Linked DNA regions of Stegostoma tigrinum. The protein of the gene in region 2 purifies or fractionates together with the protein of the main gene of each other region. This does not show direct contact. Links are inferred from orthologs where the notes say so. Each region holds a gene or a part of one and is shown on either strand. Other genes may lie near its edges. The genes, in order: cytoplasmic dynein 1 intermediate chain 1 and protein bicaudal D homolog 2-like.

Region 1 (10,933 bases), on a different chromosome or scaffold from region 2:
CAATCCACCTAACCTGCACATCTTTGGACTGGGAGGAAACCAGAGCACCCCGAGGAAACCTACGCAGACAAGGGGAGAACGTGCACACAGACAGTCGCCCAAGGGTGGAATTGAATCCAGGTCCCTGGCGCTGTGAGGCTGCAGTGTGAACCAATGAGCCACAGTTGCCTTGTCCTGGAGGGGTGGTCTTGGTTTGGTGATATTGTTCCAGTGTGGAGGTCTCATTCTGGCATGAAGGTCTCCTTCAGCAGCAGCTTCCAACTTTTCCAATGTTAGTCATTTTAATTGACTTTCCCCAAACTGAAATTGATCTGAGATGTATTTTGCTTTAATTTTTTTACTTCATTTCCTCCTTATCTATGACTTAAGTCATTAATACAGGCAGCATGGCATAGCGACTTATTACTGTTTTTGTTTGTAAAAATACGTGATAATAAACTGCTATTCTGTTCCATTCCCTGCAAGTAATTAACCAGCTTTCATTAAATCAGCATTTCAGAAGTTGGATTTCAGCAATCTCCTTCAGACTATCTTTGAACGAATTTTATTAAGGCAATAAACTGTCTACGGCTCATGAAGTGCTGACTTGTCACTAAAAGACCTCCACAAAAGAATTTTGCCTCTGGACTTTTGGACTGCATCTTAAAAGCAAGGACATTGATAACCTCATATCACTCTATTGTTTTTAGTTTAGTTATTGTTATCGTTGCAAATCGAATAATCTGTTTATCTCCTCAATTTGATCTCCCCTGTGTTCCAAAGTACCCCCAGGCCCATGTCTAAGAATATGTGAAATAAACCTTACATCTAGTTTAACTTTACAACAGTATTTTGTGGCCCTTACGATGTACGATTCCATCACCATAAGAAATGGAGAAAAACATCATCACTGTTTAAAAAAGGGAAAGAATGATATTATAATCTGCTTATGAATAGATGAGAATGAGGGGAGAAATTTGTTTTAAAACTTGTAACACGTCTGTAACAAAATACTGACTTAAAATTCTCAGGAGAATACTGCATACAAGGTCTACAGAGTCATGATGCCACACAGCACACTCATGCCAAACAAATTTCCCTAACTAAACTGGTCCCACTTGCCTGTGTTTGGCCCATATCTCTCTGAACCTTTCCTATCCATGTACCTGTCCAAATGTCTTTCAAATTTTGTAACTGTATCTGCATCTACCATTTCTTCTGGCAGTTCATTCCACATAAAAAACCATCCTCTGTGTGAAAAAGTTGCCCCTCAGGTCCCTTTTAAATCTTTCTCCTCTCACCTTAAAAATATGCCCTCTAGTTTTGAACTCCCCTGCCCTAGGAAATGACTTTTGCTATTCACCTTATCCATGCCCCTCAGGATTTTATGAACCTCTATAAGGTCACACCCTAACCCCCGATGCTCAAGTGAACAAAGTCCCAGCCTATCAGCCTCTCCTTATAACTCAAACCCTCCAGTCCTGGTAACATTCTTGTAAATCTTTTCTGAACCTTCTCCAATTTAATGATATCCTTCCTTGAGCAGGATGACCACAACTGCACACAGTATTCCAAAAATGCTCTCACCAATGTCCTGTACAACTTCAACATGACATTCTAACTTCTATACACAATGGCTTGAGCAAAGAAAGCAAACAGAAGAATGTCATCCCAAAGTCTATCAAAGGAGCAATGTTTGAGGAGACTGGTACTTTCTTGGAAGGCTGTTCTTAAACTGCCAACTGTGGTGTAAGAGTTGAAGATCAGATTGTCACCACCTCTTCCATATATGATTATTAAAATCACAAGAGGTGTTCATCCTTTCAGTGAGTTAGAAAGGAAGCTGAATTGAGTGTGTGCATTTGCTGGGTAAGAAAGTTTCACTTGTGCAAACCTAATTTGGATTGAGATTTGCAGTTGACATTAAAGAAAATCTGAAATTTAAAATTCTGCAGTTGCAAGGTTTGAGCAGGTTTATTTTCAAAGATTGCATTGAAAGGGTGTAATTTAAGAACCTGCTGAAACTGGATCCTCACTAAATGAGTGAACGAGCCGCTTTGTTTTTAAACTATACATAAGTAGACAACATGTGTAACTTGTAATTGAGGGCTTGAGTTGAGCATCTCAAGAAGATCAGTGGAGCAAGGAGACAGGTGTTCATTTACAGACAAAGGAAAGCCTAATTCCAACAAAAGACACATGTCTTAAAGAACTGATGGTATGGAAAGAACATAGGAAATCAGGAAACCTGCTGACAGCCATGATGTGCTTGGATTCTTGACTTAGTAGTCAAGACCCATCTATGCCCCAAGCACCAAAGGCCAATACCACTTAGAGTGGTGCTCATTAAGTACTTCAGTTGAGACTCAGTCCTCAACATGGATAACCTCAACCACAAACCACAGCATGTTACCTGATACCACCTTAGCACAATCCCAGTCCAAAATGAGGATGGTGACAGACAAGTACCAGCTGATGCAGATGGAATCATCACTGAAATGTAATGAATGAATACATAATCGAATCTCCCTCATCTGTGGGCATCCCTACACCAAGTGGACCACAGCTGTTCAAGAAAGCAGCTGACCACATATTGCTCAAAGGCAACTAGGGATGGGCAATATATGTTGGCCTTGCCAATGCCACATATGCCACAGATAAACTTTATAATAATCAGTCATATTGGAAATAGGGAGAAAGAAAGCTACAGATTGCAGGAAGATAGCCATCAGCTGATCTGTTGGTAGCGCTCATTCAGTAGAACTGTGATGTAATGTATTTCAAGATTGTAAACAAAGCAAAGAAAACTGTTTGGGTAGACAAGCAAAGGGACATTGCAGTGCCTGGGCAGAGACCTGAAAGTAAAATGTAAATAAGTTAGTTAAAAAGGCACATGGGATTATTTTCTCTATTGGCATAGGCATAAAAAATGATTAGTTTATGGTAGAACTGTATAAAGTTAGGCCATACATAACACACTGTTTGCAATTTTGTCAACACATTACAAGAAGGATACGATTACACTGAAGTAGGTACACGGGAGCTTTATGAAGATGTTTCAGGTAGGAAAAGATTAGCTTTGAGAAAAGACTGGGTATCCTATGGATAACAAGGTGTAGAGCTAGATGAACGCAGCAGGGCAAGCAGCATCAGAAGAGCAGGAAATCTGACGTTTCGGGTCTAGACTCTTCTTCAGAAAATGAAGACCCGAAACGTCAGCTTTCCTCTCTTCTGATGCTGCTTGGCTTGCTGTGTTCATCCAGCTCTAGACCTTGTTATCTCAGATTCTCCAGCATCTGCAGTTTCTAGTATCTCGGATATCCTATGGAATCTACTTTTGGAATGAAAATGGCTGAGATGAGTTTTACGTGAGGTGCTGGGAGGCCAGACACTGGATTGCAAGGACCTGATCCCAACAACACGGCTACAAATAACTAGTTGAGGATTTCCCTTCCCTTGAGGGTGGTGGGATCGGGACTACACTGTTTGGGCGGGTAACAGTGACAGAAACCACAGGTACGTTTAAAAAAAATACGTTGAGAAGCTGAAGACTTACACGGCTGGAGAAGGTCAGAAATCACACGACACTAGGTTATAGTCCAACATGGCTAGAGATTAGGGTGGGGGGGGAGTCTTTAAGTATGTAGAAACACAATGGGCTAAATAGCCCCTATTCGTACATTTTCTGTTTCATATTTTTCGCATCCACTGTGTTTTATTTCTAATTTATGTTAGTAAATCGGCTGCACATGAAACGCTCCCTTGTCAACCTGAACCCGATCATCCTCAGGACTGGAGGTGACGTTTCCACGGCAACGTCCAATCAAGGGCCAACAGAAAAACTCGTGCAGCAACATCAATGATCCGACCAGCAGCAAAGTTCCCTTTCGGAACCAATGTCACAAAAAAAGTCAAGTGAGAGACACTCTACAAAAGGCGACATTTATCGCTGTATTTGTTTCCTATTTACATTAGCTCGATGGAAGAAAAAGTTTGGAGTGGGGAAGGTCTGTTCTGATTTCCCGTCCCCACCCTGGACGTTGGACGGAACCCAACATTCGGAGGAATATATGTGTCGTACCTGAGTAGGAATATCCGACAGCGGGGGTGTCCGGTGAGGGTAAGGTCACTCACGGTGCCAGTAGTTACCGGGGAGACGGGATGGCGTCGGCCGGGGCTGGGCGGGTGCGCACTCTATACAAACGGCTTTTGCTCGTGCACCGGCTGCTGCCTGACGATCTGCGCGCCATCGGTGACCGTTACGTCCGCGAGGAGTTCAGGAGGAGCAAAGGGATCGGAGCGGAGGAGGCGAACAGGTTCCTGAAGGAGTGGGAGGTGAGAACCGGATGTTTAACTGGGCCACATGGTGGGCTGGTGTGTGTGTGTGTGTGTGTGTGTGTGTGTGAGAGAGAAAGAACTGCACTGATTTTCATATCCCCCCCTTCACCCACCCCACTGCCAGCCCGCAGGATTCATAATGTAGGCTAACAACACAGACATCTCCTCAACGAGAACTGACAAGCTATATTCTGTACACAAAAGGCAAATCAAATCATTCCTACAATCTGACCCCACCACCAAGGACATTTTTCCCACCCCACCTTTGTCCGCCTTCCGGAGAGACCACTTTCTCCGCAGCTCCCTTGTCCGCTCCACACTCCCCTCCAACCCCATCGCACCCGGCACTTTCCCCTGCAACAGCAGGAAGTGCTACACCTGCCCCCACACCTCCTCCCTCACCCCTATCCCAGGCCGCAAGATGACTTTCCACATCAAGCAGATGTTCACCTGTGCATCCGCCAATGTGGTATATAGTATCCATTGTACCCGGTGTGGCATCCTCTACATTGGGGAAACCAAAAGCAGAGGCTTGGGGACTGCTTTGCAGAACATCTACACTAAGTTCTCAGTAAACAACTGCACCTCCCAGTCGCGAACCACTTCAACTCCCCCTCCCATTCCTTAGACGTCATGTCCATCCTGGGCCTCCTGCAGTGCCATAATGATGCCACCCGTAGGTTGCAAAAACAGCAACTCATGTTCTGCTTGGGAATCCTGCAGCCCAATGGTATCAAAGATAATGGGAACTGCAGATGCTGGAGATTCCAAGATAATAAAATGCGAGGCTGGATGAACATAGCAGGCCGAGCAGCATCTCAGGAGCACAAAAGCTGACGTTTCGGGCCGAGACCCTTCATCAGAGAGGGGGATGGGGGGAGGGAACTGGAATAAATAGGGAGAGAGGGGAAGGCGGACCGAAGATGGAGAGTAAAGAAGATAGGTGGAGAGAGTGTAGGTGGGGAGGTAGGGAGGGGATAGGTCAGTCCAGGGAAGACGGACAGGTCAAGGAGGTGGGATGAGGTTAGTAGGTAGCGGGGGGTGCGGCTTGGGGTGGGAGGAAGGGATGGGTGAGAGGAAGAACCGGTTAGGGAGGCAGAGACAGGTTGGACTGGTTTTGGGATGTAGTGGGTGGGGGGGGAAGAGCTGGGCTGGTTGTGTGGTGCAGTGGGGGGAGGGGATGAACTGGGCTGGTTTAGGGATGCATTAGGGGAAGGGGAGATTTTGAAACTGGTGAAGTCCACATTGATACCATATGGCTGCAGGGTTCCCAGGCGGAATATGAGTTGCTGTTCCTGCAACCTTCGGGTGGCATCGGATGGCACCCGAAGGTTGCAGGAACAGCAACTCATATTCCGCCTGGGAACCCTGCAGCCATATGGTATCAATGTGGACTTCACCAGTTTCAAAATCTCCCCTTCCCCTACTGCATCCCTAAACCAGCCCAGTTCATCCCCTCCCCCCACTGCACCACACAACCAGCCCAGCTCTTCCCCCCCCCCCCCCCCCCACTACATCCCAAAACCAGTCCAACCTGTCTCTGCCTCCCTAACCGGTTCTTCCTCTCTCCCATCCCTTCCTCCCACCCCAAGCCGCACCCCCCGCTACCTACTAACCTCATCCCACCTCCTTGACCTGTCCGTCTTCCCTGGACTGACCTATCCCCTCTCTACCTCCCCACCTACACTCTCTCCACCTATCTTCTTTACTCTCCATCTTCGGTCCGCCTCCCCCTCTCTCCCTATTTATTCCAGTTCCCTCCCCCCATCCCCCTCTCTGATGAAGGGTCTAGGCCCGAAACGTCAGCTTTTGTGCTCCTGAGATGCTGCTCGGCCCAATGGTATCAATGTGGATTTCACAAGCTTCAAAATCCCACCCCCCCCCCCCACTGCATCCCAAAACCAGCCCAGCTCATCCCAGCCTGCCTAACCTGTTCTTCCTGTCACCTATCCCCTCCTCCCACCTCAAGCCGCACCTCCATTTCCTCCCTACTAACCTCATCCCGCCCCCTTGACCTGTCCGTCCTCCCCGGACTGACCTATCCCTTCCCTACCTCCCCACCTATCTTCTCCTCTATCCATCTTCAGTCTGCCTCCCCCTCTCTCCCTATTTATTTCAGAATCATCTCCCCATCCCCCTTTTTCTGATGAAGGATCCAGGCCTGAAATGTCAGGTTTTGTGCTCCTTAGATGCTGCTTGGCCTGCTGTGTTCATCCAGCTCCACACTTTGTTATCTATTATTCTTCACTTTTTTCTCATTTACATCATAACATGAAAATCCAGCAGGTGGCAGAGCAAGCATTCCGTGGCTGTAAAAATGCATCTGTTATCCATACTCTATGCAAACATTTCTCTTGTGGGACTAAAGTGTCAAAGGTAGTCTAATTCCCTTATTGTTTAAATAATTAATTCTTCTATATAAAAAAGATTATGTGCTTCACCGCATTCACTGTCTTCCTGCTTCTCCGTCTTGCTCCAGAATGTTCTTCAGTCACAAAGAAGACCTTACAATGCACCTTATTGTGCAGGATAATGTCCTGGCTTTCACAAGGAATGAATTCCCACTTGATCACCATCTTTGCTAAATTAAACGCCAAGTGGTGCAGATTTATTGTACCTGTTAGACAAATGACTTAGCAGTCCATTATTATTCTGCTAATCATATCAAATGCTATCAGAGATAACACAGTGTGGAGCTGGAGGAGCACAGCATGCCAGGCAGCATCAGAGGAGCAGGAAAGTTGATCCTTCAGGTTGGGAGTTTAGGAAGAATGGACCAGGGTGTCCCGGAGGAAACGATCCCTGTGGAAGGTGGATAAGGGAGCAGAAAGGAATATATGTCCAGTGGTGGCATCTTGCTGGAGGTTGTGGAAATGGCAGCTGGTGATCTTCTGGATGTGGATGCTGGTAGATAAGGACAAATTCTGCTGTTAAGTCAATTTTGTATCCAATTAATAGCCTGAATCCTGTGTGACCTAATTTTATTAATTAGTTTATTGCTGGTGTGGGAGAGAAGAGAGGGGGTGAGGGCAGACGTGCAGGAGATGAGTCAGATCTGGTTGAGGGCCCTGTCAACAACGGTGCTGGGGAAACTTCAGTTAAAGAGGAAGGTGGACATTTTGGAGGCTGCCTTGTCAAAGGTAGACTCATTGAAACATATGTGACGGAGACGGGAGGAAGTGCGAGAATGGAGACTTTTTACAGGAAGCACGGTGCAAGGATATATAGTCCAGGTAGCTGTGGGAGTCAGTGGGTTTATAGTGGATATTAGTGGCCAGTCTATCCTCAGAAATGGAAACAGAGATGTCGAGTAAGGGAAGGTAGGAGTTAGAGATAGATCTGAATCATCCTTTTCTTGATTCTGTCCTATGTTTCTCACTCCTCTGTGAGCTCATACAGTCATACAGCAGAGAATCAGACCCTGCAGTCCAACCAGCCCATGCCGACCACAATCCCAAACTAAATAAGTCCGACATGCCTGCACTTGACCAATATCCTTCCAAGTATTTCTTATTGTTATACTTATCTAAATGTCTTTTAAACCTTGTAGCTGTACCCGCATCCAGCATGTCCTCTGGAGGTTCATTCCACACATGAAGCACTCTGTGTAAAAACAATTGCTTGCTCATGTCTTTTTTAAATCTTGCTCCTGTCACCTTAAAAATTATGCCCCCTAGTTTTGAAATCCCTAACCCCAGGGGGGAAAAAAAACCACCTGCCATTCACCCTTTTTATGTAAATCTCAATAAGATCACCCCACAACCTCCTACGCTGTGAAAAATGTCCCAGTCTATCCATCGTCCCGAGCTTAATAATATCCTTCCTATAACAAGGTGACCAGAACAGGACACAGTAATCCAAAAGATGCCTCTCCAACCTCCTGCATAACCTCAACATAGTTCCCAATTCCTATACTCAAAGATCTGAGCAATGAAGGCAAGCATGCGAAACACCGTCCTAACCACCCTATCCATATGTGATGCAAATTTCAAAGATTCATGTACCTGAACCCCTACGTTTCTCTGTTCTACAACACCACCAAAGGCCATGCCATTAATTCTATAAGCCCTGTGCTTTGTTTGTTTTACCAAACTGTAATATCTTCCATTTATCCAAATTAAACTCTTTCTGCCACTCTTCAGCCCATTGACCCAGTTGATCAAGATGTCCTTTGTAATCTTCGATAACCTTCTTCACTGTCCACTATACCATCAATTTTGGTATCATCCACAAACTTACTAACCATGCCTTCTATATTCTCATCTAAATCATTTACACAAATGACAAACAAAAGTGGACCCAATACCGATCCCTGTGGAACACCCCTGGTCACAGGACTCCAGTCTGGAAAACAACTTTTCATCATCTGCTCCCAGGATGAGGCATTCCACTCCTGTACATCTCAGATGTCCTCCTTCTTCAAGGACTGCAACGCTACCCACCCACCCAACACCCCCCCCCCCCCCCACACAGTGGTCGAGAACGTCCTTGACCGTGTTTCCCGCATTTCCTGCAACTCATTCTTCACACCCTGAACCTGCAATAACTGCCAAAAGAGAATCCCCCTTGTCCTCACATACCACCCCACCAACCTCCAGATACAACACGTCATCCTCTGACACTTGCGCCGTCTACAATCCGACCCCACCACTAAAGACATTTTTCCGTCTCCACCTGATCTGCTTTCCGGAGAGACCACACTTTTGTCCGCCACACAATCCCCTCCAACCCCTCCATATCCGGCACTTTCCCCTGCAACCGCGGGAAGTGCTACACTTGCCCCCACACCTCCTACCTCACCCACATCCCAGTCTCCAAGAAGGCTTTCCACATCCAGCAGATGTCCACCTGCACATCTGCCAATGTGGTATACTGCATCCGCTGTGGCTTCCTCTACATCGCGGAAACCAAGCGGAGGCTTGGGGACTGCTTTGCAGAACACCTACGCTCGGTTTGCAGTAAACAACTGCGCCTCCCAGTCGTGAACAATTTTAATTCTCCCTCGCATTCCTTAGACGGCATGTCCATCCTGGGCCTCCTGCAGTGCCATAACGATGCCACCCGAAGGTTGCAGGAACAGCAACTCATATTCCACTTGGGAACCCTGCAGCCCAATGGTATCAATGTGGATTTCACAAGCTTCAAAATCTCCCCTCACTGCATTCCAAAACGAGCCCAGCTCGTGCCTGCCTCCCTAACCTGTTCTTCCTGTCACCTGTCCCCTCCTCCCACCTCAAGCCGCACCTCCATTTCCTCCCTACTAACCTCATCCTGCCCCCTTGACCTGTCCGTCCACCCCAGACTGACCTATCCCCTCCCCACCTACACTCACCTCTGCAGGCTCTATCCACGTCCCTTTAACTTGTCTGTCTCCTCTCCAGCTATCTGCTCCTCTATCCATCTTTGATCCACCTCCCCCTCCCTCCCTATTTATTTTCTGATGAAGGGCCTAGGCCCGAAACATCAGCTTTTGTGCTCCTAAGATGCTGCTTGGCCTGCTGTGTTCATCCAGTACCACACTTTGTTATCTCAGATTCTCCAGCATCTGCAGTTCCTGTTATCTCTTTCCATCACAACTGTCTTCTGCTGTTAAGTCAATTTTGTATTAAATTGATAGCCTGAATCCTATGTGATCTAACTTTACTAATTAGCCTACCATGCAGAACCTTATCAAAAGCTTTACCAGAGTCCAAGTAAATAATGTCTGTTGTTCAGCCATCATCAATTTCCTTGGTTACTTCTTCAAAAAAACGCAATCAAGTTTATGCGACAAGATTTCCTTTGCACAAAGCCATGCTGACTATCCCTAATCATTCCTTGTCTCTCCAAATGCATATAAATCCTATATTTCAGAATCACGTCCAACCACTTACCTAGCACCAAAGTCAGACTCAGGTCTACAGTTAATCTTGACCCTCTACACACACAATAGTACTTTGTAATCTTCTGAGGCCTCCATTCCTCTAGCTTTGGCCTGTTTTGCATCATCTATTGCCACTGACAGCCATATCTTCAGTTTGCTATGCCTTGAACTCTATGTTCATTCTTAGGCATCTCTGCCTTCTTATATTGCTCTCCTTATTTAAGACTCGCCTTAAACCTACCATTTTGTAAAAACTTTAGTCACTCAATTTCAAATTTTGCTTTGCAATGTTCTTCTGATAAAGCTTCTGTTTAGATCATCATCTCATATTAGAGGGATTATGTAGTTTTTACTGTTTCGGTCAGAAAACTGATTGCGACCATGGTGGCCAGTGTTAAGCAATTAATAGTATAGGCTAGTCAGGGATGTTAATGTGGATTTGTAACCAAAGGATAATATTTAAAAGCTAAAACTAAACTGGTAAAAGAATGGGTCTTGTGCTGCAGTGGTAGTAACCCTACCTCTGAGTCAGGTGACCTGAGTTGTTCAATAACATATGTGAACCTGTTGATTAGAAATTATCAAAATTGATCAAAGAGGGTTATGGGTGTGCAGTGGTAGTGTCAATACCTCTGAGGGAGAAGGTCCAGGTTTAAATCCCGCTTGCACAACAGGTGTGTATTAACATGCCTGTACATGTTGATTAGAAAATACCTGAATTGATAAAGGTGAATACTGAATGGATGTGCAAAG
Region 2 (11,244 bases):
ACACCGACCCTCAGATTATCCCACTAGACCCATCCCCCTTTCATCCAACTACTCTCCACATAAAAACCAAAAGAACTGCGGATGCTGTAAACCAGGAACAAAAACAAATTTGCTGGAAAAGCTCAGCAGGCCTGGCAGCATCTGTGGAGGAGAAAACAGAGTTAATGTTTCGGGTCCAGTGACTTTTCCTCAGAACTGTTCTCAGGAAGGGTCACTGGACCTGAAATGTTTACTCTGTTTTCTCCTCCACAGATGCTACCAGACCTGCTGAGCTCTTCCATCAACTTTGTTTTTTTACTCTACGTATCCCTGAACATGATGGGCAATTTAGCATGGCCAATCCACCTAGCCTGCACATCTTTGGACTGTGGGAGGAAACCCGTGCAGACACGGAGAGAATGAGCAAACTCCACACTGTCACCTGAGGATGGAATCAAACCTGGGTCCCTGGTGCTGTGAGGCAGCAGAGCTAGGTACTGAGCCACCATTCTGCCCCTTTTTTTTATAATTTGGTATGGTCAATCCACACTATCTGCACATTTTTGGACTGTGGGAGGAAACCTACACTGACCCAGGGAGAAAGTGCAAACGCGACACACAGTTACTCAAGACTGGAATTAAACCCAGGTTCCTGGTGCTGTGAGGCGGTAGTGCTAACCACTGAGTCACTGTGCTGTGTAGCGAGGCCTATCTTGGCCTCCAAGTTGCTCAGTGTTTCTGGGTGTAATCCATGAGCATCAAGCATGTGGAATCTGGTCCATGGACATTGGCATGTGACATCTGGGTTACATCTGAAACAGAATAGGTCCAATATCTTTGTTGGGAGGTTTGCTTTTGCTGTTGGAAAGCTTTTAATCTAATTTTGCAAGGCACAGAGTAGATTTAAAATTGTGAGCAAAGTCTAATCAGAAATAGAAGCAATGCAGTCCAGTAGACTGAGAAGACATGGGCATGAGAAGGCACATGGGAGAACCAGAAAGCTAAATCATATCTATTTGAATGCAAGGAGCCTGATTGGTATGGCAGAAGAAGTTAAGAGTATTGATCAGTGCTCAGGAGTATGATGTTGTTGCAATTGCTGAGACATGATTGAAGAAAGGGCAGGACTGACAGCTCAATGTTCCAGGGTATAGAGATTTCAAGCATGATAGAATGGGATGTAAGTGTGTTGGGGATATTGCATTATTGGCAAAGGAAACCATCACTGCAGGAATGAAGGAGGATGTCCTAGAAGGCTCTTCAAATGCGGCCATCTGGGAGAGCTTAGATATAAAAAAAGCGGCATTCACTTTGCTGGAATTAGACAACAGTCCTCCCAACGGTCAGAGGGAGATAGAGGAGCAGCTATATAGGCAAATCACCGAGAGGTATGAGACGAATAGGGTTATAGTAGGAGGGGATTTCAATTTTACTAACATTAACTGGGATTGCCTTAGTGTGAACAGATTAGATGGCATGGAATTTTTAAAGTGCATCCAGGAAAGGTTTTTGTGCCAGTACTTAGACATTCCTCATTGAAATGGAGCAGTACTGGACCTAATCCTAGGCAATGAAACCAGTCAAGTGGTTGAAGCATCAGTGGGCAAGCATTCTGGGGATAGCAACCCCAGAAACTCTGTAAGTTTCAAAGTCATGTGGAAAGAGATAAGGATACTGCAGAATTAAGTGTCAAACTAGGAGAAGGTTAATATCAATATTATTAGACAGGATCTAGTAGACTGAGAGCATCTACTTGCAGGTAAGTCTACATTTGGAAAGTGGGTGTCTTTTGAATGTAGCATAGTGAGAGATCAGGGCCTACATGTTCCTCTAAAAGGGAAGGGCAAAAGCAGCAAGTCTGGGCAACCCTGGAATGTTAAGAGGTATTGAGAGTTGATAAAGAAAAAGAAGGAAACCCATATAACAGGGTGTGGAGCTGGGTGAATGCAGCAGGCCAAGCAGCATCTTAGGAACAGGAAGGCTAATGTTTTGGGCCTAGACCCTTCATCAGAAATGGGGTCTAGGCCCGAAAGGTCAGCCTTCCTGCTCCTAAGATGTTGCTTGACCTGTTGTGTTCATCCAGCTCCACACCTTGTTATCTCGGACTCTCCAGCATCTGCAGTTCCCATTATCTCAGAAGGAAACTTATGTTTGGTACAGAGCATTAAAACAGGGAAGGTCCTCCAGAAGCACAGACAGTGTGGGAGGGTGGCTTTAAAAATAAATTAGGAAGCCAAAGAGGGGCCATGAAATATCTTTGGCAGATAGAATTAAAGAAAATCCCAAGGCATTTTATAAATATATTCTATACTAACAGTAAGAGGATTACCAGGGAAAGAGGGGACTCTAGTAGAGACCAAAGGAAAAATCTGTGCATGGAGCCAGAAGACATGGGTGAGGTCTTAATTGAATATTTACCATCTGTTTCACAAAGGTTAAAGACAATGTAGCTGGATATTTCAGTTGGAATGGTGAGGTTCTATAGCATGTTAAGAAAAAGAAGGTGGAAGTTTAGCAGGTATAAAGGTATGTAAATCCCCAAGGCCTGATGCAATGTATGACAGGCTGCTTCGTTGGGGTAAGCGAGAAGATTGCTGATGCCCTGGAATGAGATATTTATTACTTTGCTACCAACAGGTAAAGTGCCAGATAACTGGAGAATAGATAATGTGGTTCTTTTGTTTAAGAAGGCCAGGTAATTGCAGATCATCCAATCAGATATCGGTGGTAGGGAAATAATGAGAAAATATTTCAGGAGACAGGATTTATTGGCATTTGGAAAGGCAGGGATAGATCAGGGATGATCGGCATGAACTTGTTGGAAGGATATCGTGTCTGACTAATTTAGTTGAATTTTTTGAAAAGGTGACTAAATATATTGATGAGGGTAACAAAGTTGATGTGGTATACGTGGACTTCTATAAGGCCTTTGACAAGGTCCCACATGGAAGGCAAGCCAAAACGTAGGAGTCCATGGTATCCTAGACAAGTTGGCAAACTGGATGCAAAATTGGTTCACAAATTGGAGGCAAAGAGTGACAGTGGTAGGTTGGTTTCATAATTGGAAGCTAGTGATCAGCAGCACATCACTGGGTTTGGTGCTGGGACAATAGCTGTTTGTTATGCACATTAACAACTTGGATGTGAACATAGAAGGTATAATGAGTGAATTTGTAGATGACACAAAAAAATGGACATTTTGTTAATAATGAGAAGGATGGTGTCAGGCTACAATCTGATATGGTCAGCTGGTAAATTGGGTAGAGCAATGGCCGTTGGAATTTAATGTGATAAATGCTGCACTTTGGGTGATCTAATAAGCGTAGGATATACACAATGAATGGTAGATCCATGGGGACTGCTGAGGGAAAAAAGGACATTGGCGTCTAAGTCAATAGATTTGATTTGGTTTGATTTTGATTAATTATTGTCACATGTACCTAGCTACAGTGAAAAGTTGTGTTTACCTGCAGTACAGGCAGATGATACATTACAAAGTGCATAACAGTAATAGAACAGCGTGAGGAATACAGTGTTGCAGCTTCGGATCCCTTGAAGGCATTAGCACAAATAGACAGGATGATAAAGAAAGCATAGGGGATGCTGATCTTTATTAGCTGAAGCATAGAAGAGAGGAGCAAGTAGGTCTTGTTACAATTTTATAAACATTTATTAGGCCACAGAAGGAATCCTGCATTCTGGTGCCACATTATTGGAAGGGTGTGATTGCATTGGAGAGGGTGCAGAGGAGATTTACCAGGATGTTGCCTGGGATGGAAAATCTCAGTTATGAGGAGACACTGAATAGGGCGTGCTTGTTTTCCTTGGGGCAGAAACAGAGGAGGCTGAGGGGGATCTGATCGAAGTGACAAGGTTATGAGAGGCATAGACAGGATAGATTGTGAGAATTCTCTCCCCATCGTAGATGTGTTTACAATCAGAGGGCATACAGCATGTTTAAAGTGAGGAGTAATTCATTAAGGGGGATCTGAGGAAACTTTATTTCTTCCAGAGGGTGGTAGAAATATGGAACATGCTGCTTTAGAGGTTGGAGGAGGCATATACTATTGCACCATTTAAGAAACATCTGGATGTGCACTTAAAATGCCAAGGCACAGAAGGCAATGGACGAAGCACAGAACAATGGGATTAGTGTATCAGTGATAATGGGAACTGCAGATGCTGGAGAATCCAAGATAACAAAGTGTGGAGCTGGATGAACACAGCAGGCCAAGCAGCATCTCAGGAGCACAAAAGCTGACGTTTCAGGCCGAGACCCTTCATCAGAGCCTCTGTTATTGCTGGCACCCATACCATATTTAAAAGGATGCTGTGAATCTGGTCAATCACTATAATTCTGAAGCTGCTTTACCCGGTGACAGTCAGTTTGAACACATAGCAATAACAGAGCCTCTGATGAAGGGTCTTGGCCCGAAACGTCAGCTTTTGTGCTCCTGAGATGCTGCTTGGCCTGCTGTGTTCATCCAGCTTCACACTTTGTTATAATGGGATTAGTGTAGTTTGGTACAAAAACACAAGTTGCTGGAAAACTCAACATGTCTGGCAGCTTCTGTGAAGAGAAAATCAGAGTTAGCGTTTCAGGTCTGGTGACCCTTCTTCAGAGCTGGCTCTACCTGAAAACGTCTATAAACTATTGTGGCATCCCAATACACTTGCAGGTCACTCAGGAAGCACAGACTTGCATTACATAGCACACCGGCAACTGGTATTGAAAGGCTGCTGCAGGGACAGGCACTCAGCTCACAGGCTGGGCAAAGGCTGCATCTTAAGGCTGCCGGCTTGCTTTCTAAGAACTTGTTCACCTGGGTTCTCAAAGTATCGGTGTCCTGCCTTGCCTTGCCTCAGCCCAGCTCCACAGCCAGGCAGCTTGCTTTGATGGCAGCAGTCCTCAGTCAATGGGGTATTCATCTTCTTATACAGCAAAATACAAAATCTTAGTTATACCTCAGGCCTGCAGCTTACATTTTTCCAATGTGTTCAAACTGACTGTCACCGGATAAAGCAGCTTCGGAATTATAGTGATTGTCCAGATTCACAGCATCCTTTTAAATATGGTATGGGTGCCAGCAATAACAAAGTGCGGAGCTAGAGGAACACAGCAGGCCAGGGAACATCAGCAGAGCAGGAAAGCTTATGTTTCAGTTTGGGATCCTTCTTCATAAATGTGTATGTTACGGGGTTATGTAGATTGTGTATAATATGGTGGGTATATTACATGGTGTGTTTTATGTTATACATAGTATATTGTGTTTTACAGGGTATATAATATATTGTATATTTTATATTTATATATCACAGGGTGTATGATACATTATATGTATTATATTGTATATATTGTAGGTTATATGATATATTATATATACAATATATATTACAAGATGTATGATGTATGTTATGTATACTACACTATATATTACAGGGTATGAGATACATTGTGTATATGACAAGGTGTATGATTTACTGCATTGATTGCAGGATGTATGATGTATGATATATTATAAACACTACACAATATATTACAGGTATGAGAAATAGGATGCATCTGCAGTTCCCATTATCACTGATACAATTTTAACCTCACTGCGAAGCCTCTTCCAGGGATGCCTAAGCTGAAGAAGTTACCCTCCTCCCTCTGGACCAACCTCAGGGAATCTCTCTCCCACTGCAACTCCCTTGTCTCTCCATGTTTGGTCCACCTCCCCCTCTCTCCCTATTTATTCCAGTTCCCTCTCCCCATCCCCCTCTCTGATGAAGGGTCTAGGCCCAAAACGTCAGCTTTTGTGCTCCTGAGATGCTGCTTGGCCTGCTGTGTTCATCCAACTCCACACTTTGTTATCTCGGATTCTCCAGCATCTGCAGTTCCCATTATCACATCAGAAATAGGATGTATATTTCGTATATATTGCACAGTATTTTAGATTACACGGTGAATAAGAGACTGTATAGATTACAAGGGGTATGATGTATTGAATAAATTAGGTGTATGATTTACTGTATATATTTTAGTGTGTATGATATAGTGTATAGATTACAGGGTGTATAGTTTATTGGATAGATTACAGGGTGTATGATAAACTGTATAGAACACAGGGTGTGGGGACCACGCAGTGTCCTCAAGCGGCTCCTTGTCTGTGGGGAAGGAGCTGACGTCAGCAGCTGGGAAGGAATGTCAGCGGCAATGGCGACGGGATGGTGGAGGAGGGGAGCAGCCTAACGGGGCGGAGACAGGAGTAGCAGACCCAGGAGCCGGCAGAACGGAGACGTTGGGGGAAGCGTTCTCTGTCTTTCGCACTTGGTCGCCTTCATTTTCCACCCCCTCCTTCAGGCTGAGTTTCGCTGCCTGGCCGGTGGGCCAGCCGGGTGAAGCTATGGTGGCCAAGGCAGCGAGGACCCCGTTTTAACTCAGCTGACCCGGGATCCGGACCGAATTGGCCGGCCGAGAAGCGAGCGAGCGGGCGGCGGCGCCATGCAGGCGGAGGAGCCACTGATGGAGAGCGAGAGTTTCCTGCGGACTGAGGTCGAGCGGCTGAACCGGGAGCTGAGCGAAACAACCCAGGAGAAGATCCAGGCGGCCGAGTACGGGCTGGTGGTGTTGGAGGAGAAGCAGAGCCTCAAACAACAGTATGAGGATCTGGAGGGCGAGTATGAGACAGTCAGACAGGAGTTGGAGCAGCTCCGAGAGGTGAGGCTTATTGAGCAAGGAAAAAGGATAATAATATCACCAAATCTCGATCCCGATTTTTGTACAGACGGTTTTGTTTTAAAAATAAGTTAATCATTTGCTTAAAATGTATTGGTTGGATTCTTCAAAAAAAAACTGACCGAAGACCCACCCATTGCCCAAGAGCGTCTGACCGTTGACAGATTCAAGCAGCAGCTCCCAGCATCTGCCACCTCACTGCTCAATAATAGTTGTTGTGCTGTGCCAAATGGCTCACAGTGGCTTGTTCGTACCGTTGAATCCCCTACTGTAACTGTATGAATTCTCGCAGTGGAGGAATCCCTTTGTCCTCATCTTTCAGCAGATTGTCATAGATCGGATTAGTGACCACTGTTAGATCCACGGGAAGCATGGTCAGAGATCCATCAAGCAGAGGCCACTAGATTTAAAAAAAACACTTCCCCCTCGGCATAAGTCAAATGTACAAACTAGGTAAATCAGCTAATTAGAGTTTGATGGCCAGTCAAATGGCCAGACAATGCAAAATTGTAAGATAAGTTTTGTTTTAATAACGCTTTGACAAGACCTAAAAAAATTCTCAAGAGAAAATATTTCCACGAATCTTTGGCACGAAGAAATTGCATAAAATATGTTGGGCAGGACTAGACTGTTGAGCCAAACTAGTTTAATACATCTAGTGACTAAGATGTTCAGACCGGAAAGAAAATGTTTAGATATACAATATTGTACTATCACAGTACATGAAGGTAAAGTGCTCCTCATATGCAGACATTCTGTAACTGCCTTGTAAAATGAAATACTTATGAGATGTGAATCATTGCTTGTCTTTGGGTTGTATGTTTTTTTCCCCACTCAAGACATCACTGGATTTGACTTGACGCCTCCTTTCAGAATTCTGGATTAGATTAGTGACTCATTGGGAAAGTCATGCTTAGCTTGCCTGCTTGGTTGATACAGCATGCTGATACAAAATTGAATCAATTACATTCTAGAATGAAGATTTCTTTTGGTTTTAACTATTATTGACTTTTTTTTGGTTCAAATCGATAATAGACTTCAATTTCTGTTTTGGAAAAGGTCAGTTTGTGGATATAACTACATCTATAGAGCACATCTTTTTACAAGTTTATGTTAAATTGATTAAAAATCAAATCTCAATCTGGATTGTGGAGCATTTTCATAATGAAGAAAATGTATTATTTCATTAGGATAACATTCGGATTGAGATTTTCAAATGTGAGCTGTTTAGAGCATTTGAATAATAAATTATCGGTTTAATGAAACGTCAAAGCATTGTAATGTCATACTGTGTTTGAAGGAAATATGTTAACGTTTGCAAGTCATGTTAATTGTATGTACTGGAAGTTTCAATATTTCTCTCAGTATTACGTGGGATATGAGGCTTTTGAGTGTTTATTTTCATATTCTTTAATTGAGCTGATATTTATGGGTCTGAATGACATTGGGTGGGAAAACTGCTGTCTTCAAATTTTAATGTTTAAACATTTCAGTTACAAATCAAGCAAGTAGTTTTAGTTTGATATATGCAGGAAAGGATCAGAAATGGCATATTGGACTTCTAAGACAAGAAAGATACATGAAAGGACTTGTATTCACCTTCACAAACTCAGGTCTAACTGATATTTATGGAAATCTAAAGAGATCATTTCTCTGCAAATTTGTTCTATTAAGCAAAGTTAAAAATGAACTTTGCAATCTCAAGGATTTGAAAAGATATTTTTTCAATGAGTGATTTAAACTTTTTCTGCTGTAAATAATAAATTACTCAACAGAAGATACTATGGAATATAACACAGTTTTTTTTATCTTTTTAACATTTCGTTAGATAATTCCTTCACATTTATTACAGGTTGTGTGGAAAATGGGAAGGGTCACTGGATATTTTTAATCAACCCATTCAGATCTATCATGACGCCTCCGGAGCAGGTGGAACTTGAACCCAGACATTCTGGCCCACAGGTAGCACATTGAACAGTACAGTGCAGTACAGGCGCTTCGGCCCTCAATGTTGCACCGACCTGTGAAACCAATCTGAAGCCCATCTAACCTACACTATTCCACTATCATCCATATGTTTATCCAGTGACAATTTAAATGCCCTTTTAAGTTGGAGAGTTGACTGCTGTTGCAGGCAGGGAATTCCACACCCTTACTGATCTCTCTGCTCATCCACACTGCCAAGAATCTTACCGTTAGCCCAGTACTCTGTATTCTTGTTACTCCTTCCACAGTAAATCACCTCTCACTTTTCCACATTAAACTCCATTTGCCACCTCTCAGTCCATGTCTGCAGCTTATCTATGTCCCTCTGTAACCTGCAACATCCTTCCGCACTGTCCACAACTCCACCGACTTTAATGTCATCTGCAAATTTACTAACCCATTCTTCTATGCCCTCATCCAGGTCATTTATAAAATGTAGTGGCCCCAAAACAGATCCTTGCGTTACACCACTAGTAACTGAACTCCAGGATGAACATTTCCCATCAATCACCACTGTCGTCTTACAGCTAGCCAATTTCTGATCCAAACTGCTAAATCGCCCTCAATCTCATGCCTCCGTATTTTCTTCAATAGCCTACTGTGGGGAGCCTTATCAAACGCTTTACTGAAATCCGTATACACCGCATCAACCGCTTTACCCTCATCCACTTGTTTGGTCACCTTCTCCAAGAACTCAATAAGGTTTGTGAAGCACAACCTACCCTTCACAAAACAGTGTTGACTGTCCCTCATCGAATTATTCCTTTCTGGATGATTATAAATCCTATCTCTTATAATCGTCTCCAACACTTTACCCATAACCAAAGTAAGGTTCACTGGTCTATAATAACCAGGGTTGTCTCTATTCCCTTTCTTGAACAAGGGGACAACATTTGCTATCCTCCAGTCTTCTGGCGCTATTCCCGTGGACAATGACAACATAAAGATCAAAGCCAAAGGCTGTACAATCTCCTCCCTAGCCTCCCAGAGAATCCTAGGATGAATCCTATCCAGCCCAGGGGATATATCTATTTTTACACCTTCCAGAATTGCTAGCACCTCCTTATGAACCTCATCCTGTCTAGTCTAATAGCCTGTATCTCAGTCTTCTCCTCGACGACATTGTCTTTTTCACGTCTGAATACTGATGAAAAATATTCATTTAGTGCTTCTCCTATCTCTTCAGACTCCGCACAACTTCCCACTACTGTCCTTGACTGGTCCTAATCTTACTCTTGTCATTCTTTTATTCCTGATATACCTATAGAAAGCTTTAGGGTTTTCCTTGATCCTACCTGCCAAAGACTTCGTGTCCCCTCCTGGCTCAGCTTAGCTCTCCAGGTAGTTTGAAATTAGAAAAAAGTCTAAGTGTAACTTTGAATGGATTGGAATCTGGTGAAATTTATTTAATGTTTGACGTTTATTTTCTAATGTGTCCTTTATTATCCTGTGAACCTAATGTAACAAGTAGTAACATGATCTCTCTTCTCAACATGGTAAGAGATCACCTTTCTCCTCCCATGCCATGTGATCAGCGTTCGGCAGAACAAGCTTTTGTAGTTTGTTTATTATGCAAGCATGTAAAGAACGCTTGTTGGTTTTCTCCCTCGTAAAACTGATTATAAGGGTGAATGTTATATAATCATTTTTTACATTTTTGTACTATGTGAGATTATTGTCGGAAATGGAGTAGTTTGGTTATAAAGAAGGAGGGTGTAACCAAAGCTGATGGGTTTAACTATCATGCCAATCGCTCAAATTGTTCTATTGTTGGTGATTTGTTTGGCACTTCACGTTTGGCTTGTTGACTACTTTGTTCAAATGTTGGATCACAGCCCAAAATCCTTTCAGAATCTCGTTTATTTTTCAGCCTTAAATACTAATACATAAGTGTTAATTTCTTTGTAAATTCTGAGCTCTGTAGAGTTTGCCAAGCATATAACAAAACATGGTATAACTAAGTTTGTGAACATGGACAAGGAGTAGGCTATTCCATAAAATCATGAATTGAATGTAATCTTATCTGCGTTCTAATCCTGATAACCTTTCACCACCTTGTTTAACAAAAATTTATCTCCCCCGTCTGAAAAATATTCAAGGATTCTTGTTTCAACTGTCTTTTTAGGATGAGTGTGACAAAGGCTCATGATTCTTCAAGAGAAAACAATTCCCTTCATAACGGTCTTCTTGTATTTTTAAACAGTGATCCTGAGTTCAAACATTTCCCGTAAAGGGAAATATCCTTTCCACATCCATCCTGTTAAGATTCCTCAGGATCCTATGTTTCAATCAAGTCACCTCTTAGAACCTGCTAAAATTTAGAAGAATCTTGCCTGTCTAACCTCATAAGACACCCCACCTAGTCTAGGTGTCAGTCTAATAAACTTTCTTTGAATTGCTTCCAGCATATTTACAGACTTCCTTAAATAATATAGCTGGTACAATGTATAACACCCCAGGTGTGGTCTCACCTCTGCCCTGCATAACTGAAGCATAAACTTCCTACTTGTTGTATTAATTTCCCCTTGTAATGAATTATAATATCCTCATGGCTTTCC

The links.
Region 1: the proteins of protein bicaudal D homolog 2-like (region 2) and cytoplasmic dynein 1 intermediate chain 1 purify together in Homo sapiens (affinity purification with western blotting; 4 studies listed by BioGRID and IntAct, with this or other methods). This does not show direct contact. The link is inferred for Stegostoma tigrinum from reciprocal best matches to the Homo sapiens genes BICD2 and DYNC1I1.

The regions. Positions count from the first base shown.
Region 1 is NC_081355.1:82,795,083-82,806,015, reverse strand, and holds the start of cytoplasmic dynein 1 intermediate chain 1, read right to left. Parts: upstream 4,141-10,933; 5' UTR 4,061-4,140; exon of another isoform or gene 3,823-4,060; intron 3,782-3,822; exon of another isoform or gene 3,536-3,781; intron 1-3,535. UniProt on the Homo sapiens protein: Acts as one of several non-catalytic accessory components of the cytoplasmic dynein 1 complex that are thought to be involved in linking dynein to cargos and to adapter proteins that regulate dynein function.
Region 2 is NC_081364.1:29,076,682-29,087,925, reverse strand, and holds the start of protein bicaudal D homolog 2-like, read left to right. Parts: upstream 1-6,169; 5' UTR 6,170-6,466; coding exon 6,467-6,682; intron 6,683-11,244. UniProt on the Homo sapiens protein: Acts as an adapter protein linking the dynein motor complex to various cargos and converts dynein from a non-processive to a highly processive motor in the presence of dynactin.